Tribolium castaneum: one gene and its partners. The protein of the gene in region 1 purifies or fractionates together with the protein of each later gene. This does not show direct contact. Links are inferred from orthologs where the notes say so. Each region holds a gene or a part of one and is shown in the gene's direction. Other genes may lie near its edges.

Evidence for each region.
Region 2: the proteins of l(1)G0020 (region 1) and THUMP domain-containing protein 1 homolog purify together in Homo sapiens (co-immunoprecipitation; 3 studies listed by BioGRID and IntAct, counting the BioPlex papers as one, with this or other methods). This does not show direct contact. The link is inferred for Tribolium castaneum from reciprocal best matches to the Homo sapiens genes NAT10 and THUMPD1.
Region 3: the proteins of l(1)G0020 (region 1) and protein AATF purify together in Homo sapiens (affinity purification with mass spectrometry; 3 studies listed by BioGRID and IntAct, with this or other methods). This does not show direct contact. The link is inferred for Tribolium castaneum from reciprocal best matches to the Homo sapiens genes NAT10 and AATF.

What each region holds. Positions count from the first base shown.
Region 1 is NC_087402.1:4,625,787-4,632,675, reverse strand, and holds l(1)G0020 (RNA cytidine acetyltransferase), read left to right. Parts: upstream 1-2,994; 5' UTR 2,995-3,026; coding exon 3,027-3,134; intron 3,135-3,179; coding exon 3,180-4,169; intron 4,170-4,218; coding exon 4,219-4,491; intron 4,492-4,538; coding exon 4,539-5,732; intron 5,733-5,780; coding exon 5,781-6,154; intron 6,155-6,192; coding exon of another isoform or gene 6,193-6,199; exon of another isoform or gene 6,200-6,206; coding exon 6,207-6,303; 3' UTR 6,304-6,404; downstream 6,405-6,889. Other genes in the region: Ubr1 (E3 ubiquitin-protein ligase UBR2), read left to right, coding at 1-870; ras-related protein Rab-33B, read right to left, coding at 1,168-1,332, 1,385-1,645, 2,489-2,710. UniProt on the Homo sapiens protein: RNA cytidine acetyltransferase that catalyzes the formation of N(4)-acetylcytidine (ac4C) modification on mRNAs, 18S rRNA and tRNAs.
Region 2 is NC_087394.1:31,072,136-31,077,728, reverse strand, and holds THUMP domain-containing protein 1 homolog, read left to right. Parts: upstream 1-2,354; 5' UTR 2,355-2,448; exon of another isoform or gene 2,449-2,526; intron 2,527-2,577; 5' UTR 2,578-2,588; coding exon 2,589-3,344; 3' UTR 3,345-3,376; downstream 3,377-5,593. Other genes in the region: elgi (E3 ubiquitin-protein ligase NRDP1), read right to left, coding at 1,174-1,443, 1,490-1,934, 1,985-2,265; scny (ubiquitin carboxyl-terminal hydrolase 36), read right to left, coding at 3,880-4,002, 4,200-5,117. UniProt on the Homo sapiens protein: Functions as a tRNA-binding adapter to mediate NAT10-dependent tRNA acetylation modifying cytidine to N4-acetylcytidine (ac4C).
Region 3 is NC_087396.1:16,778,527-16,784,705, reverse strand, and holds protein AATF, read left to right. Parts: upstream 1-3,108; coding exon 3,109-3,370; intron 3,371-3,424; coding exon 3,425-3,556; intron 3,557-3,612; coding exon 3,613-4,649; 3' UTR 4,650-4,667; downstream 4,668-6,179. Other genes in the region: uncharacterized protein Jasper, read left to right, coding at 76-153, 202-257, 441-594, 643-748, 798-967, 1,026-1,062, 1,114-1,842, 1,891-1,986 and 1 more; U11/U12 small nuclear ribonucleoprotein 35 kDa protein, read right to left, coding at 2,145-2,723, 2,770-2,775. UniProt on the Homo sapiens protein: Part of the small subunit (SSU) processome, first precursor of the small eukaryotic ribosomal subunit.

The sequences.
Region 1 (6,889 bases):
TTGATGGATGTAGAAAAGTTGGCCGATTGTATGGACACCGGTACGAGCGACGAGGATGATATTTTAAAAGTCTTGCAAATTATGGGCAAGTCGCATGACCGGATAAGTGGCCACGTTGTCTGGAAGCACGTCCAGGAAGCTTCAATCCCATTTTTGCGTTGTTGTGTCCTTTTCTATCACTACTTGACCGACGTACCTGCCCCGTCAGTATTACTCGAAGTAGGTGGCGACACTTTCGCTAACATGTGTACATATTTGGACCTCCCCCAAACCCCCCAAACTCTATTCAACTCGGACAAAGTCCTCAGACTGGTGTCAAAGTGGTGCCAACATGAGGAAGTCGTTTCGTTCTTACAAGGAACTCCCCTGCAAGTCATCCACGAACCTCTGTCGGTACCGAAACTGATCGATCTACCGACCGATTATAGCGATTTGATTAATACCGTTTCGACGTTCACGTGTCCGAATAGCGACGAAGACGCGCGAACTCCCAGCATGTGTTTGGTCTGTGGGGAGATTTTATGTTCGCAGAGTTACTGTTGTCAAATGGAGTTGCACAACATGCATGTGGGGGCGTGCAATTACCACGCACAGATGTGCGGGGCCGGCGTTGGGATTTTTCTGAGAGTGAGAGAATGTGAGATTTTGTTTTTGGCGACGCCGCATAGAGGAAGCTTCGTTTCGCCGCCGTATTTGGATGATTACGGCGAGACGGATATGGGGTTGAGGAGGGGGAATCCCCTGAGGTTGTGTCAGGAGAGGTACAGGAAACTGCAAACACTGTGGTTGAGCCATAGTATACATGAGGAAATCGCCAGGGCGATCGAGTCGAATAGTCATGTGATCACGACGCAGTGGCATCATCTTTAGAGATTATGAAATTGTGATTTTTTTAAATACTAACGATGAAATATTTGTTGCCTTTTGTCTAATTTTACTAATTTATTTTGTTGGAATTTATTACAGTACTTATGGAAAATTACAAGCTCTCTTAAGGCCCACCCAACACGAAAAACACTGTTGTATAATTTTAGTAGGAAATTTAATATTTATAATAGGACAGTAAAAAAGAGTTGTATAATATTATGTGTAATACAAATTAATTAAAAAGATACAATTTTCATTCAAAATAAATATATTACCCACAGGTTTTTCTTACAAAATTATTTAACAGCACCCCCATGATTTTTTAGGCTCTGCAACAGTATCGATTACGATATTGTTAGTAACAGGTAGAAAAGGCTTCTGATTTTTTAGTTTGTGAGCCAGAGTTAAAAAAATCGCTTCTATGTTATCACATTGAGAATCGAGTCTTGCAGACGTTTCAAATAACTAAAAAAAATATTCTTTATTAGCTCTAGAACGGTAAGGTTGCGTCTATTACCGGCATGTTGTACTGATCTGCAAACCTCTGCGCTACGTTTGTGGTAACGGCAGCCACGCCATCACACTTATTCCCCACTAAAATTCTCGGTATGTCGTGGAGACAATTCCTGTTACATTCATCAACCCATTTTTTCAATGAATCAAAACTAGCGGCATTCGTGACGTCGTAAACTAGAACTATCGCGTGCGTATTTCTATAGTAGTGTTTCACCATTGACGATCTAAATCTCTCTTGACCCGCAGTGTCCCATAATTGCAACTAAGTAGAGTATAAAATGTTACTTAGAGTATAAAATGTTACTTCTGGGCCAGAACATTCGGCGTCTTAAAAAACAAGTCAGAACCTTACAAATTTAGCTGTTTGCCCAAAAGCAAACAACCGAATAGGGCCTAAAACCTCTCAAAAATCATTAATTTTTATCCACTCCAAAAGTTCCCAAATATATGTAGGCCACCAAAAATTGGGCACACGTAAAACAGGGTAAAATCCTACAAATACACTCTAAAAAACTAACAAAATACCTTGTTTTTACACACCCCAAAATGGCTTTTTACTTTATATGTTCTACAGTATTAATAAAAATCAATAAATTCATGTTTAATATCGACACCAAACGATACGATCGAACAAATACGACTTCGCAAACCAAGTGTTTTTATGTTCTTCTGTTCTGAGAATTGGACACTTTATAGCAGTTTTTAGTCTCTCTAAAAACTCTATCGCAGATTTTTCAGATGAATGGAGCCAATCCGGTTGTATCTTGTCAAAAATTATCAGCTCAAGTGTTCTCCCAGCTTCTAGGTTCACACTTGGAAATACAAGGTCTTGTTGCCTTCCAGCAACATTTGCGAATGGAGTTGACCAGTTAAAGTCTCCATCTATCATCCGCCCCAAATATTGGGCACACTCGTGTGCTGCGAGTGTTACTGCATCAGCTTTAAAGGCCCTATTCGCTTGTTTGTTTTTGGGCAAACAGCTAAATTTGTAAGGTTCTGACTTGTTTTTTAAGACGCCAAATGTTCTGGCCCAGAAGTAACATTTTATACTCTACTCAACTAATAATTGAAATATTAAAAAATATTTTTCCGGAATGATTCTTACAGTTATCTCTTCCCCATCTAATGTTAAGTTTCTGCTCCTAAAATCTACTCCGATTGTGGCCTCCGACTGTTCCAAAAAAGCCCCTTCACAGAATCTATAAGTCAGTGAGGTTTTACCCACATTTGAGTCCCCAATGACAATAATCTTAAATATCTTCTTGTAGTTTGTTGTTTTGTTAATCGTGGGGGCTTCATTAGCATTCGTTGGTGCAGTGTTTTCCATTTTTACTCCATTCAGATAATTCTTTAATCGCTATATGATAAAAAATTACGTAGTTGAAACAACAATAATAAAAATTGATTTACCTCAAATGAGTCACTTGATTACATCAAATGTACTTTTCCAGGTCATTAGAAAGTATAAATCATGTTGATTAATTGTTTTTTGTGTAAAAAATAGGGTTTAAAAAAATATTCTGACGTCTACTTGACAATCAGCTGCTTGACATTACAGTTACGAAACCCAAATTCCCTAAAAAACTGCTAACCACACTTTTGTTGTGGTTGCTTAACCTCAAAAAAACGTGTTAATTTGAAAAATGGTGCGTAAAAAAATTGATAATAGGATTCGAGTGTTGATCGAAAATGGTGTCAAGCTGGGGCACCGGACTTTGTTTGCCATAGTTGGTGATAAAGGCCGGGATCAGGTATTTAAAATTTGCATGTCTCCCCCGGTTCATTGCGTTTTTTAGGTGGTGATTCTCCACCACATGCTTGCAAAAGCCGAAGTTAAGGCCCGCCCATCTGTTCTGTGGTGTTACAAAAAAGAGTTAGGCTTCAGTAGCCACCGAAAAAAGCGCATGAAACAGCTCCAACATAAAATACAAACGGGCAAACTTAGCGTCAATGAGGACGACCCCTTTGAACTTTTCCTCTCCTCTACGAAAATCCGCTACTGTTACTACTCCGAAACCCACAAAATTTTGGGCAACACGTTCGGCATGTGCGTCCTGCAGGACTTCGAAGCCTTGACCCCCAACCTCCTAGCCCGGACTATTGAAACGGTAGAAGGGGGCGGCTTGGTTGTTATTTTACTGCGCTCGGTGGCGTCTTTAAAACAGTTGTACACCATGAGCATGGACGTCCACCAGCGCTTCCGGACGGAAGCCCACCAAGACATAGTCTGCCGCTTCAACGAACGTTTCCTCCTGTCTCTAGCCTCCTGCAAACGCTGTCTTGTGGTCGACGACCAACTTTCCGTCCTCCCAATCTCCTCACACAACCTCCACGTGACCCCGGTCGAGCCCTCGCAAGAGCCCTTGCCTTCGGAAAGCGAACTAACCGACCTCAAAAACCAGCTCAGAGACACCCAACCAGTCGGTAATTTAATCAACTGTTGCAAAACCCTGGACCAGGGTAAGGCGCTTTTGAAGTTCATTGAAGCCATTTCGGAAAAGACACTTCGCTCGACGGTGTCTCTGACTGCGGCAAGGGGGCGCGGGAAATCGGCCGCGTTGGGGCTGTCGGTGGCCGCAGCCGTGGCCTTCGGATACTCGAATATTTTCGTAACGAGTCCGAGTCCGGAGAATTTAAACACGTTTTTCGAATTTGTTTTTAAAGGATTTGACGCGCTTGAATATCAGGAACATATAGACTATAGTCTAGTGCAAAGCACGAACCCCGAGTTTAATAAGGCCATAGTTCGGGTGAATATTTTCAGGGACCACAGGCAAACTATTCAAGTGAGATAAAGCCCTAATTGTTAGAAAAATCCGATTTTTGGTTTTTTAGTACATTCAGCCGACTGATAGTCAAAGATTGAGTCAAGCCGAACTTTTAGTAATTGACGAAGCAGCTGCGATTCCTCTCCCGTATGTGAAATCAATGCTAGGGCCGTATTTAGTGTTTTTAGCCTCAACTATCAATGGTTACGAGGGCACCGGTCGCTCCTTATCTTTAAAATTATTGCAACAGTTGCGAATTCAGGCGGTTCCAGTGGGTGCCAACACCAATGCCGCAAATAAGAAGGACTCGGGGGCTGCCACTGGTCGCACCCTTCACGAGGTATTAGCTTTCAAAGTCGCACGTATATTTTTTATTTGATTGTTTAGGTCACTTTGGACGAATCAATTCGGTACAAACCCGGCGATGATGTGGAGGCGTGGCTCACTAAGCTCTTATGTCTCGACGCCACTTCCGTGGCCCCCATCTTGTCAGGGTGCCCTCCGCCCGACTCCTGCGATTTGTATTACATAAACCGCGACACCCTTTTTTGTTATCACAAAGCATCAGAGGAGTTTTTGCAACGTCTGGTCGCCTTATACGTCGCCTCGCATTATAAAAACACTCCGAATGACCTTCAAATGATGTCGGACGCCCCCGCACATCATTTGTTTTGTCTCTTGGGCCCCGTTGACCCCAACCGGAAGACCCTCCCGGAGGTGCTAGTCATAATCCAGGTGTGCCTTGAAGGCGAAATATCAAGATCCTCCGTTGTTGAGGGTTTTTCCCGGGGGAAGAGAGCCTCCGGGGATTTGATCCCGTGGACGGTGGGCCAGCAGTACCAAGACCCGGACTTTCCGCGCCTTTCCGGCGCCCGGATTGTCCGGATCGCCACGCATCCGGACTACCAGGGGATGGGTTATGGGGCGAAAGCCCTCAATTTACTCAAACAATACTACGAGTTTAAAATCCCGAGTACCGACGAATTTGAGGATGTGGTGGAGGAGATTAGTAATGTCCGGGAGGAGGAGGTCGGCCTTTTGGAGGAAACAATTGAACCAAGGAAAAGCCTCCCCCCTCTGTTAATCAAATTGAGTGACCGCAAACCAGAAAAACTGGATTATCTGGGGGTTTCCTACGGTTTAACCGAACAGTTGCTGAAGTTTTGGAAGCGGGCTGGGTACGTCCCTGTTTATTTGAGACAAACGACGAACGATTTAACAGGGGAGCATTCGTGTATTATGTTGAACGTTCTTAACGATGAGGATGGGAGTAACGATTGGTTGATGGCGTATTGGAGCGATTTCAGGAGACGTTTCGTTAATCTTTTAGGCTACCAGTTTAGCAAATTTTCGCCAAGTCTAGCCTTGGGCGTTTTGACAAATAAGACGCGAAAAATCACGTCTAAAAGTTTGTCCAGGGCCGAATTGGAAATACATTTGACCAGTTACGACATAAAACGGCTGGAAATGTACAGTAATAATTTAGTTGATTACCATTTAATCATCGACTTGTTGCCGACTTTGGCAAAACTGTATTTCCTGAACCAGATGGGCGATGTTCAAATGTCGGCAGTGCAATCAGTACAACTCTCAATATTTAATTTTTTCTTTATAACAAATGAATTTTAGGCAATTTTGTTGGGTGTGGGGCTCCAGTACAAGACAGTTGACACGCTCGCAGCCGAGCTCGATTTGCCCTCATCTCAGCTTTTGGGCCTTTTTAACCGAATGATTAGACGAATCGTTCAGTATTTAAATTCAGTCCTTGAGCAAGACATTGAAAAGTCTTTGGCCCCCCGAAAGGACGTCGAACTGACTCCAGTCGCGAAATCAATGCAACAGGAACTAGACGAAGCGGCGCAAGAATTACAAAAAAAGCAAAAAAAGGAGTTAGAGAAATTGAAAAATGAGTCTTTAACCCAATTCGCGATTAAGGGGTCTGAGGAAGAGTGGGGCAAAGTCTTGACGGGAAAAAGCAAAAAAAATATTATCACAATTAAAAGGTTCGCGATTTTTTAATTGTTACATTAGTGTTGTTTAGTGACTAGTTTGTAGTGGCGAGAAACGGCTACATGAGAGTAATACCGACGAAGTGAAAGAGGACCCAATCAAGAAGAAGAAGAATAAAAACAAGAAGCGGAAAAATAACTGATTTTATTAAAAAATAAAAATGTGTTATACTTGTGTAACTGAATACACTTCGTTATCTAATGTATCGTACAAGACAAAATAAACGTTGTAACACGAGAGAAACAGTCCGTTTTGTGTTACTTTCACAATTCCTTTGTAAGTCCCTGATAAAAGCGACGTTGGCAGCACTGAAACGTCAAGTGACGGCAAAATCGTGTAATTCCCCTTGACAATCGGGCATCTACATGGCACACTATTCTTTATGAAAACTTCCGGGCAAGTTTGGCCAACCGGAAATCCGTAATCACACAAATTGTTATAAGTACAGGACCCTAAACCATTCTCACAAGGGATTGGTATCCACACCCCCCAAATATCACGTTCTATCCATAAGGACGCCTAAAATAATGTGTCAAAGATGGACGCCTAACTGGGGGAAGTACCTTAATCGGGCCTACAAGGTCAATTGTGGAACTCAGGCTCCCAGTGACCTTAATTTTGGATTTTGAACCCATTTCAAGTGTGACATTAGCTACGGTCACAGGGTAATCTCTACTTGAACATTTTGAAATTTTCAAGTCTTTTATCAGCATGGAATTCTAAAAAAT
Region 2 (5,593 bases), on another chromosome or scaffold:
GAATTTTTGAGATCAAATGTCAGATCATTAAACTATACATAACTAAAACGAAACAAAACGGGAAAACCGCACATCCACCAACATTCAAGTCTGCGTCAGCGTTTCCGTTATTGTTGAAAAATCAATATTAACAGCAAATTCTTTGAAAATGCAAAAGTAATCAATTATCCTGGCGGCAGGAATTATTGATGACTTTACGCATTATAAAATCGACAAATGAACACGTTCTGGAACAAAATTGATGATGCAGTCAACGTTTATAATAATTTCTTGATTGCAAAAAGTAAGTTCAATAACACTGGTCTGCAAAAAAATTCTCCCTATTATTATAGGCACTCATCATATATATATGATGCTCGAAGACACAAACTTTTTGTGTAATAAAAAATAAAATGTAAGTATTTTTTAAATTTGGCCTTGCAATCGTTATTAAAGACTTGACTGATTGGCTTCTCCTCCAATTGGAAAATTTAAGGATTGCTATAATATTTACAACAAAAATTATGTGTAAAATACAAAAAATCAATAAAACAATTAAAAATCCTGGTCGTTGATGACGTCACTTTCAATATTCGTGACGCTCCCGGGAGTTTAGACACAGTCAATAATTATTAATGGTTAGATCTCTCATTGAAAGTATAAATTACATTATTATTATTTTTTAAAGTGCATGAATAATTTATTAAATTTATAATTTACATGCGAATACAATCAAAAACACAAGAAAAACGTAACAAAAACAGTTGAAGAGAATTAAATTTTCTACAAACGACGTTTAAAGCCCCTCAAGCGGCGAATTAGTTTCATTTTTACCGGTGTTTAAATGACCCATTAAAGCTATTTATACGTAAACGGGTGAAAATGTTTTAATAAAGTAGACCACAGCCTTAATTTACTTTTGGTTCATGAATAATGGCACATTGCAGTAAGTTACAAAACAGTTAATTTGTTCAAGCTGAATAATCCTGTATCATTAGTGCACTTCCTGTCAATTTTCTAATTTTACGAATTCTAATTGATAAAATTGACTGCATCACCACCAGAACGGAACAATTTGTGGCACTTACAGACCCCAGATTTTATAATAAAGCAGTGAGAAAGATTATGATTAAACTTAATGTAAATTAATGTATTTAAAAGGAATGTAATTAAAAAAAATAAAAACAAAGAGGGTTACTCTATACCGTGAGCAAAAATCATAACTAAACCTGGCTCTACCATCATGTCTTCGCCCATATGCGTATTGTCGCACGCCAGTACCAGCACAGCCTGCTTGCCCGGTACTCTTTTACAAACATAGTTTTCGTATTGTCTCCTATTGTTTTGCCTGGTCTCCAGCGAGCTCAAGCCGGGGGGCCACCTCCTCTCGTGACAATTTTCCATTAGATCGTCTAATATGTGGTTGGGGCACCCCATCTCAGTTAACGTCCTTCTAATCATTCTCTGGAAGGAAATTATGAAAATTTCGCCACTTGTTGATTGAACCTACTTGAAGAACTTCATCTGGTGTCGAGATCATCCCTCCCCATCGGGTGACTCGCGCCCTTTGGAGAAAGTTGCTCCACCTTAAGACTTCATCTCTCTCCATTGCATCAGCTATTGCCCTCATTGAAGGGTTCGATATCCTCATGGCCCTCATGAACTCCTTCAGCAGCTGCATTTCGCGCTTTTGCTCGTTGATTAGGAAGCGCTGCTCGGTGATTTCCTGCTGGAAGTCGTTCATTTTCTGCTGCTGGGTCTGTATCAGCGCTCGCAGTTCTTTCACGCAATTGTGGTCTTTCAACTCATCTTTAGGAATCACTAAACCACAGCCCTTCTCACACGGTAAAGGTCTCTTAGGATTATGTTCGCATTCTTCAAGGTGGTTCGAGAGAGAGTCTAATTTTAATACACGCGTACAGCCATACTGAGCGTTATCACAATTTATACACAGTCTGGAACAAAATATTGAATCGAACGGTTTCATTTCAGACTTTTTGATTACCTAGAAAGCAAGTTTCGTAAAATTCGGGGCACTGGGCGCAGTTGCGCTGATGTGACACTTTGTCGGTCCACGGGGCATGTGGGCTGTCTTGTGATCCATTCGGTTATGCAGGACTTGCAAAATGCATGCTCGCACACAGGTGCCTGCAAAACCAGTAAGACTTTTTCCATTAAAAAAATAAGTAAACACACCTGCAAGGGGTCCTCCAGTACTCCCGAACAAATGGGGCACACCAATTCCTCATCTACATCTCCTTGAAACCTATTAATATCAAAGCCCATTTTAACAGTAACGACCCATCACAATTTGCACGGATTTTAGCACTGCGATTTATTTATAAATTGTAAAATCATATGTGACAAATGTCACCCATCAACAAAATGTCTGACACAGAAACAAAAAATTTAGGAAGTTTTGTCTGTTAGGTTGGTCAGGCGTGATGTTTCAGCTAACCTAATTTTTAAGTGCGTATTTATTTTAACTTTTTATGCTTACAAATAAAAAAATATTGGATTAATACGTGTTATTAACAAAGAACAGTGGTCACATATCGATTTATTTGGTGAATTGTATATTACAACATAGTTTTGTAGGGGTCGTAGTCATGAGTAAGCCAGTTGTTTCCAAACAAAAATCCAAAAAATACTACTTTAAAAAAACTTCCAACAAAAGACTGAGCTTGGACGTGAACTTGCGGGGCTTCCTCTGCAGTTGTAACAACAGGGAAAAGGACTGCATTAAGGAATCTTACAATTTACTAAACGAATATGCTGACAAATTGTACCAAGAGAGCAACGAACCTGAAGCTGAGCAAGACATTGACGACTCGTTGGCTAAAGAAATATCCGAACTGAAGCAAGACAAGAGTGAAAAACGATTCCAGGTTATAGAATCTGGTGCCAAAAATTTCCTATTCATTAGGACGAGTTTGGAGAATCCGGTTGAGCTAGCAGAGGCGATTATAAAAGATGTTGATGGGAGTAAGACCCAAAGAACGAAATTTTTGCTGAGACTGATTCCTGTGGAAATTACGTGCAAGGCGAATGTGAGTGATATTGTCAACGCATTTGTGCCCCTCGCCCAGAAACACTTTGTGGAGTCCCCGCAAACGTTTTGTGTGATCTTCAACCACCGGAATAATAATGTTGTTTCGCGGGATGAAGTCATAAAATTAATTGCAGCGAAAGTGTCCGAGCTGAGGCCTGATCATAAAGTTGATCTTAAAGAGGCAAAAGTGGCTATTATTGTTGAAGTGATAAAGGGGTTTGCGTTTTTAAGTGTTATACCTGACTATCTTAAGCACAAAAAGTATAATTTATTGTCACTTTGTAGTCAAGAACAAGTAGCTGATTGTAATTAATGTTGCAATAAAATTTTCTATTAATATAAAAATTTTATTTCCAAAGTTTTGTTCTAGAACAGATACATGGTTGCATTGCTACAACATGAGTACACATAGTGTAGGTTTGACTATTACCATTGTTTAAAATTTCAAAGTTGCATCATAAAATTCAAAACATTCGTCAATTTCAAGAAGTTAATAAACATTAAAGTAATATATGGTAAAAGTTTAATATCTTTATGCTTAATGGTAAATAAATCTTTGTACAAATAGGAAAAGAAATAGAAAAAATACAGTATTTTAAATGCACTGTGAACATTAAGCTCAAAAAAATGAAACAAATACCACTTCCTAAAAGATTTCATTGTTAATTATACTATCGCTACTTTATTACATCGGTTTTTCAATCAAAATTAGGAATTATAGTTTGTTTAAAAATATAAATACTTACATTATAAATTCACAAATTCAGTTATGCTAAACAATGGTGACATAATATGCACAATTATACAAGTTCAATTGCCTATGTAAAAATATTCAACCTTAAAATTAATCACTGCCTAAAGCGGTAATTTTTATGAAAGCTTTTGTGGTGGAAATTACGACGGTGCCGGTTGCCCGAATAAAACGGCTTGTAACCGTTGTTCTGACTCCAGTTCTTAGTGTTGTGAAATTCCTGAAACAAAAATACGATATACAACAATTCATACAAATATTTGAATACGAAACGACAGCTAAAATCACTCAATTTTCTATATTTTTATCCAAGAAGTTTAGGAAACTATTTTTAAATTTGCAAAATATTTTTTAATATATTTAATAGCTTTTCAAAAAATATAAAGAAGCTATTATCGGAACTAACAAATTACTCACTTGTACGGGATTGTAACCAGGATTAGACTTGTAGGAGTTATTCAGTTTTTGATGTTTGACTTTGCCTTGGTCCGAATTATCACTCAAAGCTCTCTTTCTGTCTTCTCTCCTTTCGTTGCTAATTTCCTTATCTAGCTGAGACCTAGTACCGTTCCACGAGGAAACAGGTGCCGAATACCCACTGTGGGACATTTTGAACAATTCGCTAACAGTCCCATCTTGTTTTTTCTCTCCCCAACTTTTACTCTGCGTCGTTGGTTCAGTTGAAGTAACCTTCCAATCGCCCACTGCCGCCTTCGTAGAAACTCTATACTCCACATCCTGTGGCGACTGATTCGATTCGTCGGAACAACTCGAATCGTCCGTCTCATACGGAACCAATTTCGTAGTAACCGGCTGAAATGACCCTTTCTTTTCCGCATTTGTTGAACTAATCGGTGTTGTACTATTAGTATTGCGTGGCGATAACGTCCGATTCTTTTGCATTAGTGGTGATTTGGCGGTTTCCTCGTTATTTATGCTAGGCATTGATTTTTTCGGGGGAAGCGGAGGTGTCGCCACCGGTTTGTTTTCTTTTTGTGGACTTTTTTGCGGATTTTCCGGTTCGCTGTCGCTCGTTCCGGAACTCTCTGAGTGATTTCCGTTACCGTTAGTGACCGGTGTGGGGTTAACACCGTTGATTTTCTTTTCTACTCGGTCGGGGGGCAGTTCGGGGCCGTAGACTTTGTCGCTCGTAAAACCGATACCGTTCAGTGAAGCTTTTGATGTGTTGTTGCTAGTATTTGCTTCGGGAGAAAGCGGAGGTTTTATCTTGTTGTTTGTCCCGTTATTTGATTTGGTAAATGGAGATGACTCTAATTCGTACAGCATTATGTATGCGTTTGTATTGAACACAGCTTGGTGAGATATCACCCGCACCTGTGAAGGAAGGGAGAAATAAATTTTTCGTCAATTAATTATCCCCTACATAACGTTTTTGTAGACACACATGTTTGTATTATGAATGCGTAAGTTTTATAACTGTCCCTAATCATATTATTACACAATTATGGGGCGAAAAATAAGCAGAACCTTGTAGGTATTTGGGATATAATATTTTTTGTAACATGTCTTACGATCTTGTATTACATGGTATGTCACTGATAAAATAAATTATTGAAATAATTCTTATTAGAATAAAAAAATGCACCCTGTTGTTTTCCTTGACCTATTTTATTAGAAATAATGTATGCTCCAATTGACATTTAGCTTTCATCAAATGTTAGTTAACGTAATGAAAGTCGGAGGATATCTCCTTCAAATACATTTTTCTTAAAAAACTGACGATAGCACATTTACGATGCTTATTTAATATTTTTTACTTAGAAAAACTTTATTTTACAAAGGTTTAATCA
Region 3 (6,179 bases), on another chromosome or scaffold:
AATCCGCCGAAAATACAAAATTGAAAATCGTCTTTTTGCATAAATTCGTGTAAAATAACACAAATTCACACAACAATGAAGCGAACCCGCTCATTTAAAGAAGGTGACAAAGTGTTTGCTAAAATCAAAGGCTATCCAGCTTGGCCGGCAGTTGTAAGTTCTTGGGTTTGTTTTAATTTCATTGGTGCAAGTTCGTTGTAGATTTTAGCAAAAAGCGGTAAAAAATTCAATGTGCAGTTTTACGGAACTGGAGAGACGTAAGTAACTTTACTGTTTGTTTGCTAAATGGGGCTGTGACAGGATTGAAGTGTGGAGGTTTTAACTTCAATTTTTGTTAATTGGGGGCCCCTAAATTAGCAGGAACTTGCCGACAAGCTGCTATTGAGTCTTACAAGCTTGTGCGATATTTCCGTACAAAAATAAACAATGCATATTTTTAGGGGCTTTATTAAACCTGAAGACATATTCTACTATCTTAAGAATAAGGAACAGATGGTCAAAGGGTCGAAAAAGAAGGAGTTCAAAGACGCTGTTGAGCAGATTGAAAAGGCCATTGCTGAGGACGGAACAGATGGTGATGAGTCTGGTGTTGATGTAAGTCAATTTGGGGGTAATTTTTTTTTTGTTATGTATTGACAACAGGCAGGTGCCCCAGCTCCTAAAAGGAAGAGAAGTAACTCAGAGAAATCCTCAGATTCTGTTCCGTCGAAAGTTAGCAGTAATGCTAGAAACTCTGAAAGTGAAGGAGGTAGTTTTAAGGTTTATATCAATAGTAGCTTATTAAAAAATATTTTTAGAATCAAATATGAGTGAAAGTGCTGTAGACGGTCCTAACGAGTCTAGAATTGAATCTGAGAACAAGACATTCGGGAGTGCTGACGAAAATAATGCAGTGGACGAAGATTTGCCATTTTTGCCAAACATTAAAGTAGTTTCGGAGCTTAACTTAAAAAATTGGATTATTTATGTGAGTCAATTGGCACTTAAATACCTTTCATCACTGTAATTGCCCATTCAAATTGCAGGCAGATGCAGTTAAGGAAAAACCAGAGTTATACAAATGTAAGTTTTGTAGGATTTAATCATTGATTTGTTGTAATTATTCGGCTACAGCCCGCCCTGTTGACCAACGCCATTACTTCGAAAACCAAGTATTTCCGGTATTGCTCCCTTCCGGCAAATATGCAGGCCTTAAACTCCACAAGAAGTGGCCGCTGCACTTCGAAAATGAATACGAGTGTGCTATTTATGACAGTGATACAGCCTCCAGAGTGCTTCTCCTCAAAGATGCAGTGACTAGTGGCGAAATAACCCCAGAGAGCAATCCTGAATCGTTCCTCGATGATTTTGATCTCACTGAAACTGAAATAAAGCGAGATGCTGAAATGAAACTGATCAACAGCAAATACAAAAGGGTAGAGAGATTGAGAGCAGAGTCCAGCTTGGTTGAACTTGACGCAAAAATTAAGAATTGTCTCGGCTTAAATAAAGCCGAGCCAAAGAAAGCGTTGGAATTCTTGGATAGTTTACTTGAGATAAATATGGACGAAATTATGCTAAAGAAACACTCTCACGTTGTTGAGATGATCAGGAGGTTGAGAAAATACGTAGGAAATTTAGAAGAGTGGAATTTACCACCTGAGGAGCTTGAAACTTTCAACAACGACGCACAGAAAGTACGGACAAAGGCAGATGAGATTTATAAGAAATTCAAATCGGTTTGTAAATTACCGGCGGGGTCTGTTAACTTTTGGGACGGTTTCAATGACATTGTTAGGAAATTTAGGGAGGATTGCATCCATTTGAATAATAGGGAAGTTTTTGTTTTGTGTGCCGAGCCATGTAAGTTTGTTTTATTTAGAAATTTTCTTAGTTGTAATAAAATTACAGATTCGCGTCAAGCTATTATTGACCGACTTGAGCAGGAAGAAGAATTACAAGAGGCTGATATTCACCGTCCGGTTGATAGTGAAATTGAGAAAGTTGGTAAGGCATTAAGTGAATCATAGGATATTCAAATAACTCGCTTGTTCTAGCAGACGTTCAGTAGTGTTGCAAGTAATACATAAAGAAGAGTTTTTTAGTTTATTATTATTTTTTTTTTGTTAAAATATGTATGTTTAAACACTTTTCAATATAAAACATTATTTACGATCACGTCTACTTTCACTCCTGTCTCTCCTACTCCTTTCCCGCCTCTCTTTTATCTCCAAACTGATGGGTTTTTTGAAGGGTCGATCACGGCCACCGAACCGCAACTGTCCGGACTCCTTTTTCCCACCAAAGCCGCCTCCAAGTCGTCTCGGTCGCCACCCCTTTAATAACCTCTCACATTCAAAATCTACGAAAATTATGTTTCCATCAATATTCATTTTATTCGCTTTACAATACGCTTCCTCAGCGTCGAGCTCATTTTCGTATTCGATGAAAGCGTAGCCTTTGGGCATCCCTGTGACTATGTCTTTAACTAAACGAAATCGGCGCAAAGGGCCATATTTGGAAAAAATGTCCTTAATTGTGTCTTTTGTGGTTTTGAGACTAAGACGGCTGACGAAAATTGTGCACTCGGGACGGCCTTTAACGTGGCGGTTGGGGTGGTATTCGGAATTTAGGGCTCGGACGATGCCTTTGTCGTGGGGCTCCGTGTCGGTGCCGTCGATGGAACCAATTTTTATCGGGTCGTAATATTTGGCAAAACGGGACCATGAAGTGTCCGAAGAGTCCTAAATTATTTAAATAGAAATGAAATAAAGTTTGTTTATAACTTACGCTCATCGTCTTGTTTGAAAAAAATTAGGTTAAACAACTGTCACCTGTCAGAACCTTGCCATATGTGTCCGCATGAGTGTCTGGTCGAAATATTCAATTTTTTTTTAACAATAGTTTATTTTTACTTTGTACATGTACAAATTTCAAAATTGCAGCTAACGTAATGCCATCACTTGTTTGTGATAAGCTACGATTAGTTATTTTGTGTGTGGATCGCATAATTTTGGTTTCGAACTTAATAGCTTTCATGTGCCTTAGAAAAGAGTGTAGTGACGGAATCGTGACAGAATAATATAACCTCCAAATATAAAAACGTGTCTGGTTTTAATTTCTCCTAAAATGAAAAAGAAATCGACTGGAACTTTAGCTGATAAGATAGCAGGTATTTTGAATACCGCCCCTTCGAGTATTGACCCTGAAGATGAGGTTGATGACGCCACGGTTGCAAAAGTTGTGGAAGACGATGTTGAAGAAAACGAACAAGAAGATGAAATTTTGAGCAAATTTCGTCAAAAAAACATTGACCTGTTAGCTGATTTAGATGAGAAGTATGCCGGAAAAAAGACCAGTCGGAAGAATTTGAGGGATTCCGATTCAGAGGGTTTGTTACAAATGTTTGGTTTTAAAATTCTTGTGCTCAAAAGTTACTTTACAGACGCATCGCTGGGAAGTTTGGACGATAAGGAAGAAGAAGAAGAAGAAACTGAAACAAAAGGCAGTGCGAGCGAGAGCGAGGACGTGGAAGAAGAATCGTCTCAAGAAGACTCTGAAGGTCCAGAATCAAATGGTCTGCTTGGTTTCTTTTTTTTTGGCAGGACAAACGTTAAAATTTTATTTTTGCAGAAGATTTATCAGAAGATGATGGGGAGTTGTCGGAAAATGATAACACTGAAGAGAATTTCAAACACATTTCGGACACGAATGTTTCAAAACAAATTAAAAAAGGGCTTTGTGTGAGAAACCAAATGGCAATGTGGGAAAACCTCCTAGAAGTACGAATCCAACTCCAAAAATGTCTCTTGACTGCCAATAAAATGCCACAACCCGAGAAGTTTAAAGAAATCAAACAATCTGATCCCGATTTTTCCAATAAAGTTAATGAGACAAAAAACAAATTATGTGATGTCTTAGATAAACTACTATTGTTACAAAAATTGCTGTATAAACAGTATCCTGAAACAAAAAATTTGGATCAGACAAGCGCTCAAAGTGAAAAAGTTGAAGATCCTGATGATGAAGAAATTCCAAGTGATACAGATGTTGAAGAATCAGGCGGCGAAGAAGAAATTGTAAGCGATACTCCCAAGAAGAAACGAAAATTAGAATATTACGAAAGCGAAATTTTCGAAAAACACAAAAAATACAAAGATTACAGAAACAACATCATACAGAAATGGAACGACAAAACGCGCGTTGTGGTCAAAGGGGGCACCACTTCGCACTCAGTTCTAGACCAGATTGAATACAATTTGAGTAACAAAGATAAGCTTATCAAGAAAACGCAACTCAAGCGTTCCCAGTACTCCATCCTAGGTGAAGAAGAAACAGAAGATAGAAACAGTGAGGAGTACAATAGCGAGATTTTTGATGACGACGATTTCTACCATCAGCTTTTGCGCGAACTAATTGAAGTCAAGTCAGCCGACGTCAGCGATCCAGTGCAGTTAAGTCGCCAGTGGATTCAGTTACAGAATCTAAGGAGCAAAATGAAGCGAAAAATCGACACAAGAGCTACAAAGGGACGCAAAATACGATATGCTGTACACAGCAAACTGGTTAATTTTATGGCGCCCATTGATGGGAATTTATGGACAGATGACGCGAAAAATGAGTTGTATAGCTCGCTCTTTGGCAAAAATAAAACTGCATCTAATTTATAAAATAAATTGTTTTATAAATCCTTGTTTTTATTGAGTCATTACTCATTATCCCCCTTACATAAAGAGATTTTTTATAAAAAACACAACCTCCGACTCATTGTTTTGAAATAATTCTTATATTATAATGGGTGCAAGCTTGATAATAGCATTATACGCAGTCGTTGCACACTGCCTTTGTTCTTCGCTTTCGTAGTTCCACCTTTTACTTTAAAAATAATTGTTGGAATTTACCTTTTAAATTAACATAATTTTATAACTATAACATATGAGGTTTTTTTTTGTGTCTCATCCGTCATGTATTTCTTTTTCCTGCTCGTATTTGAAATTTTACATATGTCGCTCCCACTGAAGTTTGCAAATAGTTTGACTGATACAAAGCTCCTATAAAGGAAAAGTCACTTCCCTGATTCTGTTGATAAATTTTGAAAAAAAATCTAAAATTGGGGCAGTGTCCCGCACGTTAAAATGGAATGGCTAATAAGCTGCTTTTTCTTTTATTTCAAAAATTTATGAGACGACCGGTTGTGATAACAAGCAAGTGACAATCTGAAAAAAAATAAACGGCACATCATTAATAATTGTGCTTAAATAACCAATTACTGCAAAGGTGCGAACAAAAAGCTTTGTCTCTTATCTAATTCGTTTTTGTTAAGACTTTAGTTAATTTTTTTAAGTACCTATTGGCTTACATAACTACTCTACACAAATGATGTCTTATTTTAAAGCATTTTTTTGCATGGAATTTGTTAGCGCAGTCACCGATTTTTTTCAATTATTTCATTAATGATAAAGTTGTGTGATCTCTGTGAGTTCCCATTTTGCATTTTATATAAAGACGCGTTCTCACGGATCGATTTTAATTGTTCAGTTTAAGCTGATCAACAAAAATTGAATGAAAATCATCGTGAGAAACTTTATTTTAACTAAGTACACCAAGATTTTAAGAAAGTCGAATTCAGGTATTTTACTCGTTGTTTTACAGCCGTTGCAAGTAACGTTTATTTTATTACAGTTATTTACTTGACACATTCTTCTACTAGGAATGTAAGGGAGAAAATGTTTAAAAATGCTATCAGTGCTTTATTTAATTCATCATAAAAACTGAAATAATTGTGTTTTTTGAAAATTGTTTTGCTTCAATAATGAGTGTTAAAGAGAAAATGAAATACTTTTGGCCCTGTAGTAGTCTCTTAGAAATAAAGAGGTACTTATTTTAACTTGAAATTTTCTATCGTTTACTTGTAAAACTCTTAAAACGAATTAGCGGTACTGGCCTATGACATCGGCAATCTTTCTATTATGCGCTCGCTTCAATTCAGTGTCGTACATTCATATTAATTTGTTGATTTTTGTCGAGGATCACACACCACAAAAACGGACTCGTCTACTGAACATTCATTTTTATGCAAAATTTTCTGGTGAATTCGAATACGAAGTTAATCTTTTGATTTGGAACTGCCTTCATATTAAAAAAGACGTTTTTGAGGCACGTTTTGAAAAAATTGCAATAACTTGGTGAGTTTTCAAGAT